Linked DNA regions of Tribolium castaneum. The protein of the gene in region 3 binds, or shares a complex with, the protein of the main gene of each other region. Links are inferred from orthologs where the notes say so. Each region holds a gene or a part of one and is shown on either strand. Other genes may lie near its edges.

Region 1 (5,853 bases), on a different chromosome or scaffold from region 3:
ACTGGGAATTGGCTTGGACACTTATGAATTCACCCATGACGCGAGGTTGGGGTGAAATGGCCAACTTGACGCTGGTACATTGCAAAACTTGGAAGAAATACCGTGGAATAGGCAACGAAGCATTTGACAACACTTCGCAGATTTTCTTCAACAACTCAATGTGCTACAATTTTAAATAAAACACACAAAAACGAAGCGAATTTAAGTACCCGGTGCGTTATTGTAGTCATTGAAGAGCCATCATCAAGAGCGTGCGCAACTGTTAAAGCATTGCAACAAGCTTTTGTCAACTGTTGCGATTCGAGACGTGTTTCACGCGATCCGAATTCAATCGGATCGTCACGGATTTTTGATCCGTTGACACAAATACTTTCCACGCTTTGCTCCACAAGCACACACATTTGTTGCAAACTGCAAAAACACACGTTAAAAATAACTAAATGTACAGAAAAAAACAAACGAACACACATTTGCATATTTTCTAAGGTGGCAGGGTCAGCGTCGAACGCAGTTTGGTACAGCTTCCAGTAGAGGTCGCCACAATTTTTAAACTCTTTCACACACTTTCTCAACTGATTCGTGATATATCCGTGTCTTTGATACTCATCTCGCGTGTTTTGGACGATAGTAGCGGCAATCGCAGGCGGCGGGACTATACACAGGGTGTTGCAAGTATAAATGAGTTGGATCAAAGACTGGAGAAACTCTGTACGGATTCGCATATACTCCGCTTGGAATTGTAAATTATGTGAGGGGGTACTAGCCGCCTGAAACAGTGCGTAACAATCACAAACCAAAAGTCGGTAAAACAGGAACCTTCAAAGCCGCGATGGCTTTATTGTAATGTATGATCGCCCGTTCCAAGCGATTTACCAAACTATCGTCCGAAGTGAGTAAAAACGACTCGGCTTCCGACATTTCCTTCAAACAAACCAACCAGAAATGGAAATGTTCAGAACTGACTTGTTCCGTCAGTTGGTTGAAAATCGTATTTGCGATTTTGTGGTGGCCGTATCTGACCGCAGCCCGCGCTATGCAATAATTCGCCCACAGATTGTTATTTTCAATAACGCAAAAAATCGCACTTTCGGTTTCTTCGTTCCAGGTGTAGTCAGACATGCTTTGGAAAACCAGCGTACAAAGCATGATTTTGATGCGCGTTTGTTGCTCCGTTGGTTGGTCGATTTCGGATAAAGCGCGCAATAAGTTGAGAATACTGGCGAGAAGCGAGAGTAAAGTGTCGGGTTTGAGGCCCCCAATAGCCCCCAAAGTCTCACAGATGACGATGGTACAGTCGTCTGTAAAAAATCGATTTGATTTGTTCTTGAACCATAATTGAAATAACATACTGTGTATGTTGTCGAGGCGAGTGCCGAGCAGTTCCACAAACGTCTCGCAATATTCTCTCCGCGCTTCGCACAGTCGAACAGCACATTTCAGTGCCAGCTTGAGCTGTTTTGGGTGTTTGTCGTTCGAAAAAGTCAAAAGCAAAATTAAAGTTTCGAGGGCCGAAATCACTTCGTCCGCTCTTTCAGTCTCCAGTTTCTCCTTGTAGCTAAAAATACGACTGTTTTTTGTTCTTCCTGGGTAACGGAGGACTAAACTATTAGGGGGCGACAGGTGTAAAAGTCAGTTTTAAAATTTTGCACAATAAAACGACAATTTAATTTGAAGCAAGAATCAAATAATTAAAAAAAAATACAGAAAAATTGCCTTTATTTTAAATGTGTATTAGAATAGTGTAATTACAAATACTTATTAAGATTTCGTTAAAATGGTTTCTCTGGAATTTTTGCTCAACAAATAAGTTTTAACAAAAAAAAAGTGACGTAGGCGTAACAAAAATCAGTGAATCAGACAAACTTCTTTGTTTTCCACCTCGTAATAATTAGTTATCTCAAATAGTATATTTTGTACTGGTAACGTGTTATCCATATTCTTACACAATTCGTTGGCTAGTGTGTGTTGATTGTGGTTAGTGTATGCTACTGGATAGGATTTCAAGGGAGAAAAAAAGGAAACAATCCGGATTTAGGGGTCAGTCTTTAGTTTTTTCTTTTTAGAAAGATTACATTATTATCTAAAAATTTAATGGCACATTTCCAATCTCTAATAAGAGTTGAAAATACCTTTATTTGAGGTATTTTGAAGAGTTGTCTGTACCATGTGATCATTTGAATTTATTAGTTTTATAATTTGTATGAAAACGCTAATTAACATAATTAAAATCAAGCTGAAAAGTCAAAGTGAGTCAAATAAAACACTAAAAGGTGTCTCTGGTTAAATAAAAATTGACCTGTCTCGGGATGTTTTAATTTTTTGTTTATTTTCTGATACTCAGGGCAGCTCGTTTTTTAAAAATCACACTGTATATGGTATTATTAACACCTTGTACTTATTTTATTTTTTATTTATAGATTTATCATCTCCTTAGCTTCAAAAAACTTCTATAATTCTATAATTATTAATAAATAAATTACGGCGAATTCGATACTGAAATAAATATGGAACAAATTTCAAATTAAAAAAATCTCTTGTTTGGGCAAATTTTATTTGTTTCACAGCTTGCTAAAAAATTAAGTCTTAACATTCCCGCATCAAATAATTTAAGACAACGATTTTAAACATCATTTCGCCCCTTAGTTTTGCCCTCCGTACCTATGAGAAAACTCACCAGTAGCATAAAAGTTGTGTCAAAATTTGTATAGCTTGCACTGCGACTGTAGGCTGTGACGAATAACAATGTTTCATACACAATTCTCTCAATTTTGAATTGCTGTCGCGATAATCATGACACATTCGGGGCGATTCAGTCAAGACTTGAATCACACCTAATCATCAATTAATCAGTTTGCAAAACAAGACCTCAAATCGTCTTACCAAGAGCCAGGGTTAATAACCGGGCTTGATGCGTGTGTAAAGTAAAATCTATGATATTGTTGGTGGCCCCCGGGGGCCACAAATGAGCCCCCGGTTTGGCGAACTGGTACAAAAATTGCAAACATCTCGACTTGACTTCACTCCCCAAGTCTTTGCGTAAATATTGCAACAGTAAATTGACCTAAAAGACAGTTTTGGAGAATATTGGAAGACAAATTAATGAAATTACTTGACTCGGGACGTCAACTAGAGTCGCCGTTGCCAACTGGGTAAGTGTGTTTAGAGTGACCAAAACGAAGTCTTTGGCTGGATAACTTGGCAGTAAATCGATACAGAGTGTCCTCACCATCGCAGCCGTGTTGGTATCATGGTGCATGTATTGTAAAATTGGGATTAATTGTAATTTCATGCTGGCAGGCGTTGACTGGCCTTGGATCATGTCAGAGACTTTGTTGCACATGCTTACGGCGAATGTTCTACAAATTATTGTTAAAATAATGAATTCTGAGCAACTTTTACTACTTTGATTGGGCGGCAAACTGAATAGCGGCGTAAATTGCAGCTTGGACTTCCACATTATCGTGAGAATCTAGACTGCTTCTAATACTGTGGTGCACTTGCTGTCGCTCCGGAATGATGGCAGCCACGGCCCCAAACGTCCTCAGCGTCACAGCACGAGCAATAGGGTCATTACTATGAATCACACTGTAAATCCTTCTAACGAACTCATCAACACTCGAAATCTTATCTAGATGTTTTTCGCTTTGTTGGCACACACGCAACACGCACAGTCTTAGGAAATTGTTACTAAAAACAGTGCCATTAAATAGAGTTATTTACAGTAGAGAGTTGTACCCCATGCGAAAAACTTCCGCTAATTTCAGTAATGACGCATTGATGAGGATGGGGAAAGGATATTTTTCGAATAACTTTGGAAAACGAACAATTGCTTCGCATTGCTCGCCCACTTTACCGGACCGGAGCCCTAAAAAGACACTTTTAAAGAAGGCACTCAATACCGCGCTTTGAACCTTTGTCAAGCTCGGTTAAAGCCGAATTGGCGTCTTGCTCGGGCTCTCCGAGACCGTTTTCATTGAAGGCACTCACGCGGACGCTCAGCATTTTGGAAAATCGCTGGAATGTTGTTAGTAGGCAAAACAAATATAACCTGGAATTTTTTTAATCTTACGGGTGAAATATTTCACGCCAGTTGGGTCATCAACTCGTGAGAAAATTACAAAGTGGGGGCCACATCGGCATTCATGTCACAAAATCAATAAACGCGTTCAACATCCAAACTTTTATTTTTTGGTGTTTTTAGCATAGTTTTTAGGTTAGTTTAACCTATGTTGGGAACATAGAATAAGAGAGAAAAAAATGGTGCTGGCACCAAGAACATTACAGTCGACCAGACAATCGCTGCGTGCATGGAGCTAGCACCATGTCCCCACTATTCTCGTTTTCTACAGCCAAGTTCACACCAGGCAAATTATCAAAATAATTGTAAATCATTATAAAAACATCAATAAGCTGTTACGCTGACTTGCATCTCACATTTGTAGAACATCTCCTGTATTTAATTTCTGCATTTTTTATTCTCATATTCAAGCAACGCAAACTGTTTTTTTTCACCCCCTTTATATCCTGCAATTTTCTTTATTTTTGCAGGGGATTAAGCCCTTCGATAGGGCCTTCGACTGTAAAAAAATCATGTTCGGATAAAGTCCCCTTGAGATCTTAATGAATTTTTAAAAATTCTTTAAAATTTTCATATTTCGCAAACTTTATCTTTAAAAATTCATTACAGTATTCAGAATGGCCCCCGAAAAGCGAATGAGTTATTACAGAAAAGGAGGAAAATAGTAAAAATAATGAATAAGAATTTTGCAAAATGCTCTTATAGAAAAGTTGTTGTACTTTATGTTTTATTACGTGGTAAATTTAGCACACGTCAACACGCCCTTTATAAACGATTAAACACCCTTTTTAATCAAAATGTTTAACACGAAAAGTTCAATTTTGTCCTATATACATTTCAATAAATCACACTGAAGTTTAAGTCGTTGACTCAAAGGTAGATTTATCTGCCCATAATATATTCAATCAAAATTAAAAACGCTCTAAAAGAGCAGAAACGAACACGAAATCCATAAAAATGAAAGATTTAACATTTCCAAATGATAACATAACCCTACTTTTAAAACCGAATTTTCTGGAGACCTAAAATTAACACAATTTGTGGCAATACCACTAATTTTCACACCAAAATTTCATTCACCGGCTCGTTTGTACTAATGAAAAGAGGAAAATAGTGAAAATAATGAATAAAAGTTTTGCAAAATGCTTTTATAGAAAAGTTGTTGTACTTTATGTTTTATTATGTGGTAAACTTAACACACCTTAACATGCCCTTTATAAACGATTAAATACCCTTTTTAATCAAAATGTTTAACACGAAAAGTTTATTTGTGCCCTATATACATTTCAATAAATCACACTGAAGTTTATATCATTGACTCAAAGGTAGATTTATCTGCCTTTCAATTCAATTTAATAATAATTAATAACGTTCTAAAAGAGCAGAAACAGACACAAAATCCATAATAGTGAAAGATTTCATATTTCCAAATGATAACATAACCTCACTTTTAAAACTGAATTTTCTGGAGATTTAAAAACACAACTTGTGGCGATACTACTAATTTTGACACCAAAATTTCATATCACAGGTTCGTTTGTACAAAGGAAATGAGAAAAATAGTGAAAATAATGAATAAAAATTTTGCAAAATGCTTTTATAGAAAAGTTGTTGTACATTATGTTTTATTACCTGGTAAACTTAACACTCGTTAACACACCCTTTATAAACAATTAAACGCCCTTTTTTATCAAAATGTTTAACACGAAAAGTTCATTTTTGCCCTTTATACATTTCAATCTCACTGAAGTTTATGTCGTTGACTCAAGGTAGAT
Region 2 (5,836 bases), on a different chromosome or scaffold from region 3:
CGCTATTTGTGACAATCTGTTGGGTTTTTACTAAGTTGGGTAATTGTTTTTTACTCTCGATTTCGATTTTAACATCAATGTCTTGTACAACGGGCATTTGCATCTCGATAGCCTTGACAAAGGTGTCACCACCCACTGCGCCTCTTTTGTTTTGGACTTCCACCAATTGAATCATGTAAGTTTTGTCCAAAACTGAGTCCACGACCAGTTTCGGGTCCAAAAGTGTGGCTTTGTCCAAAGTACTCAGCAATTTACTGATGGAATTTGTCGGTATTCCGAACGATTGTATAAAAAGGACCAACTTTGGCGGCTCTAATTTTTCAATGGCTGCGTCAACCAATCGTGGGACGTTTGACCGAATCATCCGCAGTTTCATCCAATCAGGGAGATACGACGTTCGTTCGTTTGTATCAGGTGTGTAGGCTTGTGGTTGTTCGGCGTTCGCCGGAAACCAAAAATTTAACAAAGTCTCGAACGGCTCAAAATTCTCCAAAGGACCGTAAGTCAGTAACACAATAGCTGCGTGTATTACTAAAGTCTGCATGTGGCATTGTTCCCCAGTCACCCAAGTCACCAAAACATACTCGCTGTAGTTTTGCACCGAACTGTAAATATCCTCCGAGAATTCCTGCGCTTTCTGAATATGACTCGCAAAAATGGTCAAAAGGTGCTTCAAAGTTTGGTTGTCCGGCCCTGGCAACACGTACGAAGCCACGCTGTGTCTCTCGATAATAACCGACGATAAATCGGCGATTAATTCGTGCAGTTCCGTAAACGAATCGTTACAATCCTGCGTTGCCAAAAAATTGATATAACTCGAAACCCGCGCCGGATTTGTCTCAATTTGCAAGGCTTGCCGCAAAAACTGTATAAGCACTGGTTTAATCATCGTAAAGTGTGGAAAATGTGTTATGTAACTCGTCAACCAGTTCGTATTATTCGTCTCGCTTTCCTCCCCTTCGGCCAAAATCAAATTCAAGCCTTTGGTGGCCTGCGTCCGACTCGCCCCATGATCGGACGTCAACCGCCTGAACAAATACTCCAAAACCTCACAGGCAGTCTGCGGATCATTCTCATTAACCACCGTCCGCAAATGCGCCAAAAGCTGGCCATGTTTCGTCAATTTCTCCGTCGGTGTCGTCGACAGGAGATACTCGCACAGACATTGCACAGGCAGGTGGGCCAACGCCCCCTCCGAATTGTGCACCAGCTCGGCCAGCCACGGCATATGCGCGGTGCCCCCTTGCCGCGACATAATGTCCAATAGAAAATCGGGGTTCCGCGAGCGGCACAATAAATGTCCCATGCGATGCGTGTTGTTCAAGTGTTGGAGCTGGTCGAGGACGGCTTGGGGGGGCCTTCGGGCTTCGCCCTCAGGCCGCAACTCCATTAATTGGGGCAATAGGAGACTGCTCTGTTCGGTGATTTCCATTTTAGTGCTCGCGGCCGCGAGGTGTGATTCAAATTCCAGGATTTTTTGCTTCTCAAGGGCGAGGATTTGCTGCTCGCGGGACTGGTAGTCTTCGTCCAGGGAGGTCATGGTGGGCGGGGGAAACGAAAAGTGACTAAAATGGGGATAGTTAGGGTCAAGTATACGGGGATTGGAGGTCGGAGCGAAACGAGATACAAAATCGCACTCAAAAAATATAGTAAAAATTCACAAATTATTTGGAAAAAAATGTAGAAAAGTTGAGCTGACTGTGATGGAACAACGGTTTTATTTGTACGTCGTTTCATATCCTGACCTTCAAGAGATACTAACTTTGTTATGCACATTTCCATGAACATGCGCAACGTTGGGTATTTGTTCCAGACCTCGTTCCCAAAAGTGACCGGATTATGAGCCGCTATGATCAGCAAAATGAGCCAAACTTTCCAATAGAGCCCAGAAATGGCCAAACTGGGGGGCACATACCCCGCCGGCAGCGTGATATTCTCCGGATAATTATAGCTGCACAAGTTGAAATAAATCCCGATTATCTCCAAATTATCAACGACCAAGGGCGGGGCGCAGTCTTGGGGCAAATTCGCCGCCCTTCTAATCAACTGATCGCTAATTTCAATCGCTTCCGTGGGACTAATCGGGTGTTCTTTCGAGTTCCCGATCAGCAAAATCCTCAAAAGAGTCGCCTGAAGCAAGGGAACCTCACTCGTAAGCCTCAAAAACAAGTTCCTCTCGTTTTCGCCAGGCCACGAGTCGACCTTGTAGTAATGCTCCGCTTGTTCGAGGAACAAGACTTTGAGTAGAACGTGGTGGAAGTCGTTGAGACTTGGCCGGAAAACCCTTAGCGCGGAGTCGTTGAGCCAAGTCACTGCCTCCCGCTGTATGTTACTGACTTGTTTCTGGAAGGCTTTCAGGACCGTGACGTCGCGTTTGTTTTGCGTTGAGGCGTCGCGGACCTGAGGGCTGACGCACAGCAGCATACACATGCAGACCAGGTCGGCCAGTGATAGAAAAATTCGCTCGCGAAATTCCGACTCGCGCACGTTATTCGCAAACTCTTTGCGCTCGCGAACGAGCGAATGCACGATGCTTAACAAGTTGAAATCGTGCCGGAGGACTCGGGTGATTTCTTTCAAAAGCGCCCGCAGCGAACGCAAATAATCGTCTTTGTTTAGGAGCAACTCCTGGGGACAGTTTTAATGCAATTTGTTTTTGATTATCGGTGTACTCACCAGGCAAATGTCGGCGAAAGCGTCGGCACTTGCCTCAGGTGCGACCTGAAACAGGGCCCCCACGACGATTAAATTGTTGGAATTTCGGGCATTGGACAGTTCGTTGTAAATCGTGTATTTCAAAAGGGGGTACAAGTTCTCCGGGAACGAGTAAACCATCTCCCGGAGACAGTTGTTGAAGTAGTTAACCATGGGTTTGTTCTTCAGTCTGAGCTTGCTCAGCTGCGCTATTATTTCCAAGTCTCTTTGCGAACTCGCCGAGCAATTGTAGCACAAATAGGCGAGGAGTTCCTGCGCTGATTTCATCAACTTATGGTTGTGTAGCCAACTCTCGATGCGCGAAACGGCAATTATGCGAATTTCCACAAGTCCTGAAGCGATACTCAAGAAGCGGACGAAGTTTTTCGTGATGGTTTCCGGTTGTTGGCGCCTTGCTAGTTGTTCCTTGATGGCTTCAAGGACGATTTTTTCGACGTTTTCCTGCGTTTGGGTGAACCGGGGATACACTTTGACGTTCCAGTTTTCAACTGCGGCTTTATGCTCGAGAATCACTTCGCTTTTGGTGTCGTCGTCAGCGCTTGTGATTGTGAGGGGGCTAGAAGTGTCTCTAGCCGTGGAATTCCATGTCTCGGATTTGAGGAGCGAGGAAGGGGGCAATTTGGTGTTAAACGCCGTGATTATGTTATCAACGAATGGTTTACAGTACGGATTGTCGATAAAAATGCGATCGGCCACCGCGTCCTCCACATAAATCTACGAATAATTGTGATTCTGAAACATTTTTAATTTTTTTTCCGACTTACTTTGACGAAAATTTCCGGCCATTGGGCGACATCGGTGAAGGCGTGAGTTAATAAATTAATAAACAGCATGTGGAAGTAAGAATTTGTTTTGTTAACGCCCTTAAAACCGGAAGTTACATCACGCCGCAGAACATTCACAATAGCCGCTATGATATTCTCATTAGTGAATAACTGGGGTTTGCAGCTGCAAGTCAGTAAAAGACTCAGATAAACCACTTTACAAATCTTAGTCCTTTGAGTCTTCAACGAGCGAATGACCCCCAAAACATACCCAACCTGAAGCAACCAATTAATTTCACCCCTAAACACAATCAAGAAAAAATTACAGCTTTATCAGTATTGCCGGCATTAACAGCCGCCATAATACTCTCGAACAAATCGCTTGTCTCACAGTCCACAGCCAGGGCTTCCCACGGCTCAACCCCCATCCTCTCCACAGGTAGTATGCTGCTAGTGGAGGGCCCTGGCCGGCTTCCCGGTATCGCAACTTTCATTTTCTTCGAAGGGGGCACTGTAAGACTAGACGAAGTCCCTTCACGCTTCAATTTATCCGTCACTTTACTGCTACTTGTTTGTAAATGGGAGGCAGTGCTGGTTTTAGGGAGCGGAACGCTACGTTTGGGGTCATCTCGAGGGGAGGATTGTTTGGCCCCCAAAGCGATGAACAAGTCAGGGGGTTGTTGCGTTATTTTGGCCTTGGGGCCACGAGTGGCTTGGCTCTGGCCCGGTTTATTCCGATCCATGGTGGACCAATTATCACAAACAATGCAACAATTTTGGTTTTTTCGCAGTCAAAACAAGAAAAAAATTTTGACAGATAAGAGATAAGTTGCCAGTTGCACCAACCATTTTTCAATAACCATCTCTCTCTTATTCTATGGTGTTGGTGCACAGACTAACAGGTTTTGATTTGTGTGAAGACAGCTCCCAAAACCAGCTCCTCGAATTTCCGAAGAGACCCGAACATGAAGCCAGTTTCAGACTAGCAAAATAAGTTTCAGTTTGCTTAGATGTATGTTTGGTTGTCAGCTTTGAAACCGTTTAATAAAATAAAAATCCGAAAAAACACTAAACACCCTCTTAAAAATGACATTTTAAGAAAGTCACTATGCTAATAGCGAAAAACTCAATTATTTACCACAAATTGCTTTTTAATTTTTCCCACTTTTTCACCTAATTTCAATATTTATGGCTCCGCAAATGCATTATTGTAGTTTTCGCCCCATTTCACCCCGAAATCGGTTTTGTCACACAATGCCCTTTTGACCACTAATTCAACAATAAAAAAGACGTTTTTTAAAAATAAAATTATGGCCTTTTAGTTGTCGGAACAATGTTAAAAATTGTTATGTTGCCCAGCTCCGCAAATGCACTGTTGCAGTTTTCGCCCCATTTCACCCCAAAATCGGTTTTGTCACACAATGCCCTTTTGACCACCAATTCAACAATAAAAAAGACGTTTTTTAAAAATAAAATTATGGCCTTTTAGTTGTCGGAACAATGTTAAAAATTGTTATGTTGTTCAGCTCCGCAAATGCATTATTGTAGTTTTCGCCCCATTTCACCCCGAAATCGGTTTTGTCACACAATGCCCTTTTGACCACCAATTCAACAATAAAAAAGACGTTTTTTAAAAATAAAATTATGGCCTTTTAGTTGTCGGAACAATGTTAAAAATTGTTATGTTGCCCAGCTCCGCAAATGCACTGTTGCAGTTTTCGCCCCATTTCACCCCGAAATCGGTTTTGTCACACAATGCCCTTTTGACCACTAATTCAACAATAAAAAAGACGTTTTTTAAAAATAAAATTATGGCCTTTTAGTTGTCGGAACAATGTTAAAAATTGTTATGTTGCCCAGCTCCGCAAATGCACTGTTGCAGTTTTCGCCCCATTTCACCCCAAAATCGGTTTTGTCACACAATGCCCTTTTGACCACCAATTCAACAATAAAAAAGACGTTTTTTAAAAATAAAATTATGGCCTTTTAGTTGTCGGAACAATGTTAAAAATTGTTATGTTGTTCAGCTCCGCAAATGCATTATTGTAGTTTTCGCCCCATTTCACCCCGAAATCGGTTTTGTCACACAATGCCCTTTTGACCACCAATTCAACAATAAAAAAGACGTTTTTTAAAAATAAAATTATGGCCTTTTAGTTGTCGGAACAATGTTAAAAATTGTTATGTTGTTCAGCTCCGCAAATGCATTATTGTAGTTTTCGCCCCATTTCACCCCGAAATCGGTTTTGTCACACAATGCCCTTTTGACCACCAATTCAACAATAAAAAAGACGTTTTTTAAAAATAAAATTATGGCCTTTTAGTTGTCGGAACAATGTTAAAAATTGTTATGTTGC
Region 3 (6,514 bases):
AAAGTACCCGGGTTTAACCAATAACCCTTTTCCAATATCTGGGACATTATTAATTGGGCCCCAATGTAAAGCGATGTGAATTGAGCCGTCCCTGCGACCGACGAGTCAATTTCACTCAAACGGTTCAAGTGTTCTTTAGCGGTTTGTAAAAGTGTCGTCTGAACTCTAAAAATAAATTTTACAATTAGTAACAGACTTGCCAAGCTTGTGCCTCACCGTAATGTATTTTCGGCCAAATCTAAGTTGCTTATAACATTGTTAAGAAACTCCAGACTTTCCGGGACCGTTTGTGGTCTGCTAATTGTGTTACAACTCGATTCCGGGAGACTTAAAACCGGAACTAGGGACGGCATTGTGTCACTTATGTACGCATAATGACGTAAGGTGTGGGGTTCCAGAAGTGGGATTATAGTAGGTGAAAACTTTGCCGCATTTAAAATCAAAATCAGGACGCAAATATCTGCAAAAAAATGTTTAATCCGGATAACGTAAAAATTTGCTTAAGCCCATACATTGCGGATTTTCCACGTCCGGTTCAGCAGTATCGAAAAACGGGTGTATGTTTAACAATTGTGGCACTAGAGGGAGCACCAATTCGGGGTGCTGTGCCCCCACCCGTTGTAAACACCGATAGGTCGATCGCTTATCTTGCGGATATTTTTTGAGATTATCTAATAGTTTTTCAACGCACATTTTGAGCCCGGCTGTTGTTGACATTTTACACGATGCCAACATGTGGTGGAGGCCCTCTCGGACATCCTGCGAAAAGTCCTCAAGGGCCCCTAAGATGGTCTCCAACTGGTCGTCTCTTAGAATAATGTGTTCGGATATTCGGCGTAAACTATCAATGGCTTTGAGTCTCACATCCTCGATTTCGTCGTTGAACATATCGACCAGGAAGTCGAGGGATAAATTTGCGAATTGGGGGTTGCGAATGGAGAGCTCGCAGAGTGATTCGACGGCGGCGGAACGCACCTCTGATAAATATTAATCAATCATTAGTACAATACAGGATGATTCAAAAGTGTCGGACTAACTTTCGTATGGTGATATTGATAGGAGATATTCAGTAAAGTTTAAAAATGTTTTTTTTTCAAGCAACTTGATTTTTAATATTTAATATATAGGGTGGCCCACTGAAACCAATACACCCAAATTTTTAACGTTTGGAGTCACTTAACTCAAAACGCTAAGACAGTGCGATTTTATATCCAAGGGGGACACTTAAATATTTACTTTGTGTTCGTACCACTTCAACCCCCAAAGAGGGGCTGCCTGTAATTATATATTTTTTTAATGGAAACAGGGGTTAATTATGATGTTATTTTAAAATCTATTAAAACCTCTTTACAATAGGGAAAGTGCGGGCAAGACGGGGTACTTAACGTTTGAAGCTCTATAAAATTTTTGTATTATTAATTATCCTTGGTAATTAGTTTTTTGTGATTAATAAGTTTTATTTGGAACCTTTATTAAATATAAAAGTGAAACAAAGTAGAAAAAGTCCTTGTGGGTAAGATGGGGTACCCCTAATTTCAATTTCACTGTTGCTCTCGATTGATGGTCTAATCTTAAAATCTTTTTCTTTTTGAACACTCTTTTTATCAACCCCAGATTTTTCAGTTTTCCTTTAGCTCTGTAATTTTTATTCTTTTGCTTATTTTCCAAACTTTGTTATGGTTTAAGGTTTTTTATGAAGAGAGGAGTTTTACATATTACTGTTACGAGCAAGGTCTCAGCCCGTCTTGCCCTCTTACGGCAAATTGTGTTAGAAAATTAACTTCCAAAAACTATGTTGTCATCTACAAATAAATAGATGTTAACCTGTTAGAAAAATCATTGACATATGAATAACCATAAAAGCAATTTGAAATTTTGTTATTAACAAAACAGACACGTACTAAAGAAAGTGAAAAAAATCATAAGAAAATCGCCAAAAACAGGTTTTTTTCATAAAACTCGCAAAAGGCATGGTGGTATCGTTCAATTAAAAATCTACAATTAAAAGCTGTCTTAACTGGGCTTCGCCACGTACAAAAAATGATTATTAGTCAATTAGTTTATTATTTAAAGCTCATACCCCGTCTTGCCCGCACTTCCACCAAGTGTTATTTTTTTTATTTGGTATAAGTTTTCTAAAAATTTCTTTTTTTTAATTACAGTTTATTTATTAAATTATTTATTTGAATGTTCTAAATGGCCATAATTTTTTTAGTCTTTATGAACCCCATAAATTGTAAAAATCGAGTCCAAACATCGAAAACTTGGGTGAACTGTCTTCACTGAACCATCCTGTATATTTTCTATTTGTTTTCCTTAGGAACAGTTTCATTCATTGTTCTTTTATTCCCAATGATGTCAAATTTAATTTACTATCTAATTTGTGAGCTTATTAAATTTTTTAAATACCATAATACACTAATTGGCACATAATTGATGATTTTTTTTAACAGATATCTGCTTAATGATCAAAGAAATTAAAAAAAAATTGATCTAAAGTTCTTTACCACTACCTAAAAGTCCACAACTGTATTATTACCAATAAGTCAAAAAAAAGTAGATAATTGTAGATAAAAATTATGACACTCGGCTTTGCCTCGTCATTTACCCATAAACTCGTCCTCCAAGCCGTGCACGAAGGCCCCACACGCCCCACTGCTCATCAAATTGATGCTGTCAGCGTCGAGGATTTCCCTGGGGGCGTCATCGGCCCATTTTTTCCCACTCGCCCATTCTCCACTCGTTACATTTTCCCAAGCCAACTCATGAGCCGTCCTTTTGCGCCTCATATTAGACATTAATTTTTTATCAAGAGTTTGGTTGAGAAATTTCGCACTGACTTGTTTCATCGTTCCCAATAGTTTAGCCGCCAAGGTTCGAACATGGATTGATAAATCAGAAATCGAGTTGCAAACTTTACCGAAAGCGTCGTCTATGAGACGGATTTCGTGTTCACTTCCCGGAAGTACAACCTCACTGAAATTTTTTCAATTAAATGTAAATAGAAGAGAGGGTTTAGGCTAAGCCTACTTTTCCGGAAACGTGTTGCCCAAAAGACACACTAACTTGAGAACGACTTGACGGACAATTTCGTAGTCGTCCTTTAAGGCATCGCAAACATCTATATAAATGTCCGGATTTATTTTAAAATTGCGCTCATGTAGGGTGATAATCGTCGAAAAAGCCTGACTACGCACCCTGGCGTCGTCGTGGTTAAAGTACGAACTAATCAAAACCATTAATTTCTCCGCCTCTGCCCCCGTACAAACCGGCGTATGCACGCCAATGATCTCTAGACATTTCCTCTTGACAGCATGACTGACATCTTTCAAGTAACTTTTCGCCACTTCTACCAGTTTCTGATGCAAAGCGATGACATTATCAGAGACCAGCTTCCCTAATTTAAGCACGGTATTCATCCCCTGAGCGATAACTTTATGTGAATGGTCATTTTTAAGCAACAAAATCGTCTCGTCAATAATGGACACAACATCAGCGTTGGGTAGATGCCCAATGTCGCACAAAAGTGACAAAATTTTTACTCTAACGGCCGACTCTGGCTCATTCTTAAAATGATCGCTCAGTTTTTTAACTGCTTCGGGAATATCTGAAGCCTCAAGCTCGAAAGTATCAGAGACACGAAGCAAAGTTCGTAGGGCTTCGCTACTGCTTTTGCAACCTTCAAGACAACTAATAAGTGCCAAAGACGAGTTCCCGGTGCCTGTGGAAGGCTTCTTGACAAGTTTGAGTTTTTTAATCGGTTGGAAAGGAACAGTTTCCTGGAATATGTAAACATAACCTCATTTTGGACAAAGGGAAATTTAGCCCATACCTGGATTGTTTGGGTGAATTCGGCCAAAGCGCGTTTTTTCAACACTGCAGCCATCGTGTTTATGTGGTAATTAACCGATTTTAGCGTTTTTTAAACATTTTATTTTGTGATTGTTGTCAAATGTCAAAAAGTTACGCAACCGCCACCTGGTGACAATTACATAAAATTTGGTTTTTTGATTTTTTTTATTTATGAGCGGTAAAGGTATTAATTTACCGCATTTGTCGGTTTCTGGCATTAATTCTAAATTATTGTTTTGTCCAATTAGGTAATTAATGCTATTTTGTTGTTGGACCGAATGACGGTTTGTTTGTGCCAATGGCGTATCGTTTGGGATGGGTTTGGGGGTCGGGTTAAACTCATTTGTTTTAAATAATGTTTATTTGTAATAAATTCACAATTATATAATAAAGTTATAAAATGTAAATATATGAATCTAGGTATAAAAATACTTTATAAAATCAATAATAAAGAGGAGATAAAATCTGATATAACTATACATAACGTAATCTGAGTATAAAACATGTTCTATGGCGAATATAAACAAAAAAGTTTATATAAAGTGTCTGGATGTACATATTTTTCGTACGTATATGTAGTCTATTTGAGTATTGTCTTTCAGAGAGAACACAGTTGGAAAAAAGTTGGCAGTTATGGGCCAAAGAAGCAAGCAAAAAAAACTAAATTGAATGAGATCCAAAATAGAACAAAAAACATAATAATAATATAAATCCCTTTACCATGGCAAACTGTCATAAATAAGAATTACGAACATTTACAAAAAACATCAACAAATACTGATTATAATACAAAAATTAGTAAACAAGAGCATTAAGTATGATCGATTTACAAAACAATTGTAACATTACGTAAACATTTATAACATAGACAACAATTGTAAGATGGTAAGGATTAGAAAATAACAAATGACGCGACTCGGTCGCATTTGTACTCACATTTGTAATGTGTACAACAAATTATACTATTTAATCAATATACAATAAACATTTTTATTTTACAAAGTGAGTATTATAAGGTAAAAAGGTCATATAATGCCTTGACATATGGTAAACTGAAGTTTTTTCTTCCTAATCACTAAGCGCTAGCATTAAACTAAAAGCATCTGAAACTAAATTAAATGCTTCGTTGAAGCACTGCGGAGTAACCTAGAGCAGAGTGGAACGATAATACTTTTAATTATTAGGAAAAAAACTGAACAGAAAAAACAAACAATTGTAGATTCCACACTGCGAGTAACAAAGAAACTAATCATACGATAAATAAATTAAAAAATTCTAAATTTTATCAAGTACGCGATAATACAGAAATGGCAAGAAATTTTAGGCAGATTCGATAAAAAATAAATACACAAAAATTCCGATCTCTTTTGAAAATAAATTTCACATAATCACAGCACATGAGTACAATATAATAAAAAAATTAACAAAACAAAACAATGCTAGGAACAAAACTTGGCAAAGTAGCATCAAAAATGTGTTTTCGTTGCTGTTCATCGAGAGAAATTTGTGCGTTGGCGGAATGTCGCCGGCCGACGAATAAATAAATAAATAATTTAGGTACGAATGTGGACCATTCCGCCGCCCCCAGCAAGCTACCTCGACTTGGCCTTGGCGGCGGCGACGTTCCCCGCCGCCGCCGCGTTCTTCTGCGCTATGTGCGTCTGGTAGTGCTTGGCCAAGTGGGCCTTCTGCCTAAAACTTTTCCCGCAGAGACTGCACGCGAAGGGCTTCTCCCCCGTGTGCGTCCGGATGTGGACGTTCACCGAGTACTTGTCCTTGAAGCCCTTCGAGCAGATGCTGCAGTAGTGCAACGAGCGCTCTTTGCGGACGCCGTTGCTCGTCGAGGTCGCGTTTTGTACCGTCGTTTGTGCTTTGGTGTTGCTGTTTGAACGCTTGTATTTCTTCGTCGCTGGCTTCGTACTGCTCACGGAGGGGGTCGCGATCTGGATGGGGGAGTTGAGGTTGTTGAGGATGCCGATCTGGTCGGGGCTTATGCTGTACACGGGGTTCTCCGCCGACGTGTCGATCTGGCAGTATTGGTTCACTGACTCCGCCACCTGAAAATTATCATTTATACGGTTAAAATTAACTGTCTTTACAGTCTTTTTCAGAGATGACTACACCTTTTCCAATTGTAGTTCAGAAAGTAGCAGATGTTGTCTACATATTTCAGAAAAGATGAATTAAATACCTATCTATGTTTACACATAACTCTTTCTGAAATACATGATTGTGATACTTTCTGAAATACTATTGGAAAAGGTGTAGATTAAAACAGATGTGAAATAGTAGATTGTGTCAGATTGTGCAGCTCTATTTTGACCAAATATTAAGTACAATTTAATAATTATCATCAAAGTTTTCGAGTACTTTATAAAAAACTTTTCAACTCTAAAGAGTAAGTGTAACAGGTACTTATCCAATATACGTGCTTTTTAAATAAAATTTTGGACTTGATAAAACATACAGAAAAAATGTGCTGAAGATCGTCCTAAGGAAACACAGGAATTACAAAACAAAACAGCTTCAGTTAGCCGTAGTTTAACAATATTATTGCTTGGGATATTAGTTGCAAAGATTACAATCGATATAGTCATGATTGTGAAGGAAGCATACTGTATGTATTATTTATTGTACCTATACAGGTACAAGCATGTCTTAC

What was found.
Region 1: the proteins of IntS4 (region 3) and defl are in contact, whole or in part, in a cryo-EM structure (PDB 8RC4), measured with the Homo sapiens proteins. The link is inferred for Tribolium castaneum from reciprocal best matches to the Homo sapiens genes INTS4 and INTS7. Residues at the interface, in NP_291025.3 of Homo sapiens: Glu536, Met539, Asp540, Arg571, His572, Ala574, Tyr575, Asp578, Ser579, Ser610, Phe613, Arg620, Leu624, Leu627, Gly631, Glu634, Leu635, Phe638, Arg641, Asp642, Arg645, Leu646, Glu648, Leu649, Gln650, Lys677, Leu678, Trp679, Asn680, Val681; in NP_056249.1 of Homo sapiens: Lys137, Asn138, His140, His141, Arg144, Gln145, Gly175, His205, His206, Asp207, Ala208, Ser244, Ser245, Leu246, Val247, Lys282, Thr283, Pro284, His285, Thr286, Thr321, Ile322, Lys325, His326, Gly686, Tyr689, Glu704, Gln707, Gln708, Leu711.
Region 2: IntS4 (region 3) and IntS1 share a complex: the UniProt entries of both Homo sapiens proteins name them as parts of the integrator complex. The link is inferred for Tribolium castaneum from reciprocal best matches to the Homo sapiens genes INTS4 and INTS1.

What each region holds. Positions count from the first base shown.
Region 1 is NC_087397.1:6,154,422-6,160,274, forward strand, and holds the start of defl (integrator complex subunit 7), read right to left. Parts: upstream 4,265-5,853; 5' UTR 4,070-4,264; intron 4,015-4,069; 5' UTR 4,003-4,014; coding exon 3,912-4,002; intron 3,866-3,911; coding exon 3,736-3,865; intron 3,688-3,735; coding exon 3,403-3,687; intron 3,357-3,402; coding exon 3,110-3,356; intron 3,062-3,109; coding exon 2,881-3,061; intron 2,832-2,880; coding exon 2,675-2,831; intron 1,568-2,674; coding exon 1,350-1,567; intron 1,299-1,349; coding exon 817-1,298; intron 768-816; coding exon 469-767; intron 412-468; coding exon 210-411; intron 164-209; coding exon 1-163. UniProt on the Homo sapiens protein: Component of the integrator complex, a multiprotein complex that terminates RNA polymerase II (Pol II) transcription in the promoter-proximal region of genes.
Region 2 is NC_087397.1:1,925,727-1,931,562, forward strand, and holds the start of IntS1 (integrator complex subunit 1), read right to left. Parts: upstream 4,265-5,836; 5' UTR 4,223-4,264; coding exon 3,806-4,222; intron 3,756-3,805; coding exon 3,480-3,755; intron 3,430-3,479; coding exon 2,677-3,429; intron 2,629-2,676; coding exon 1,763-2,628; intron 1,566-1,762; coding exon 1-1,565. UniProt on the Homo sapiens protein: Component of the integrator complex, a multiprotein complex that terminates RNA polymerase II (Pol II) transcription in the promoter-proximal region of genes.
Region 3 is NC_087398.1:12,614,958-12,621,471, reverse strand, and holds the start of IntS4 (integrator complex subunit 4), read right to left. Parts: upstream 3,974-6,514; 5' UTR 3,887-3,973; coding exon 3,833-3,886; intron 3,780-3,832; coding exon 3,031-3,779; intron 2,977-3,030; coding exon 2,609-2,976; intron 978-2,608; coding exon 513-977; intron 461-512; coding exon 217-460; intron 166-216; coding exon 1-165. Other genes in the region: neurotrophin receptor-interacting factor 1, read right to left, coding at 5,445-5,909. UniProt on the Homo sapiens protein: Component of the integrator complex, a multiprotein complex that terminates RNA polymerase II (Pol II) transcription in the promoter-proximal region of genes.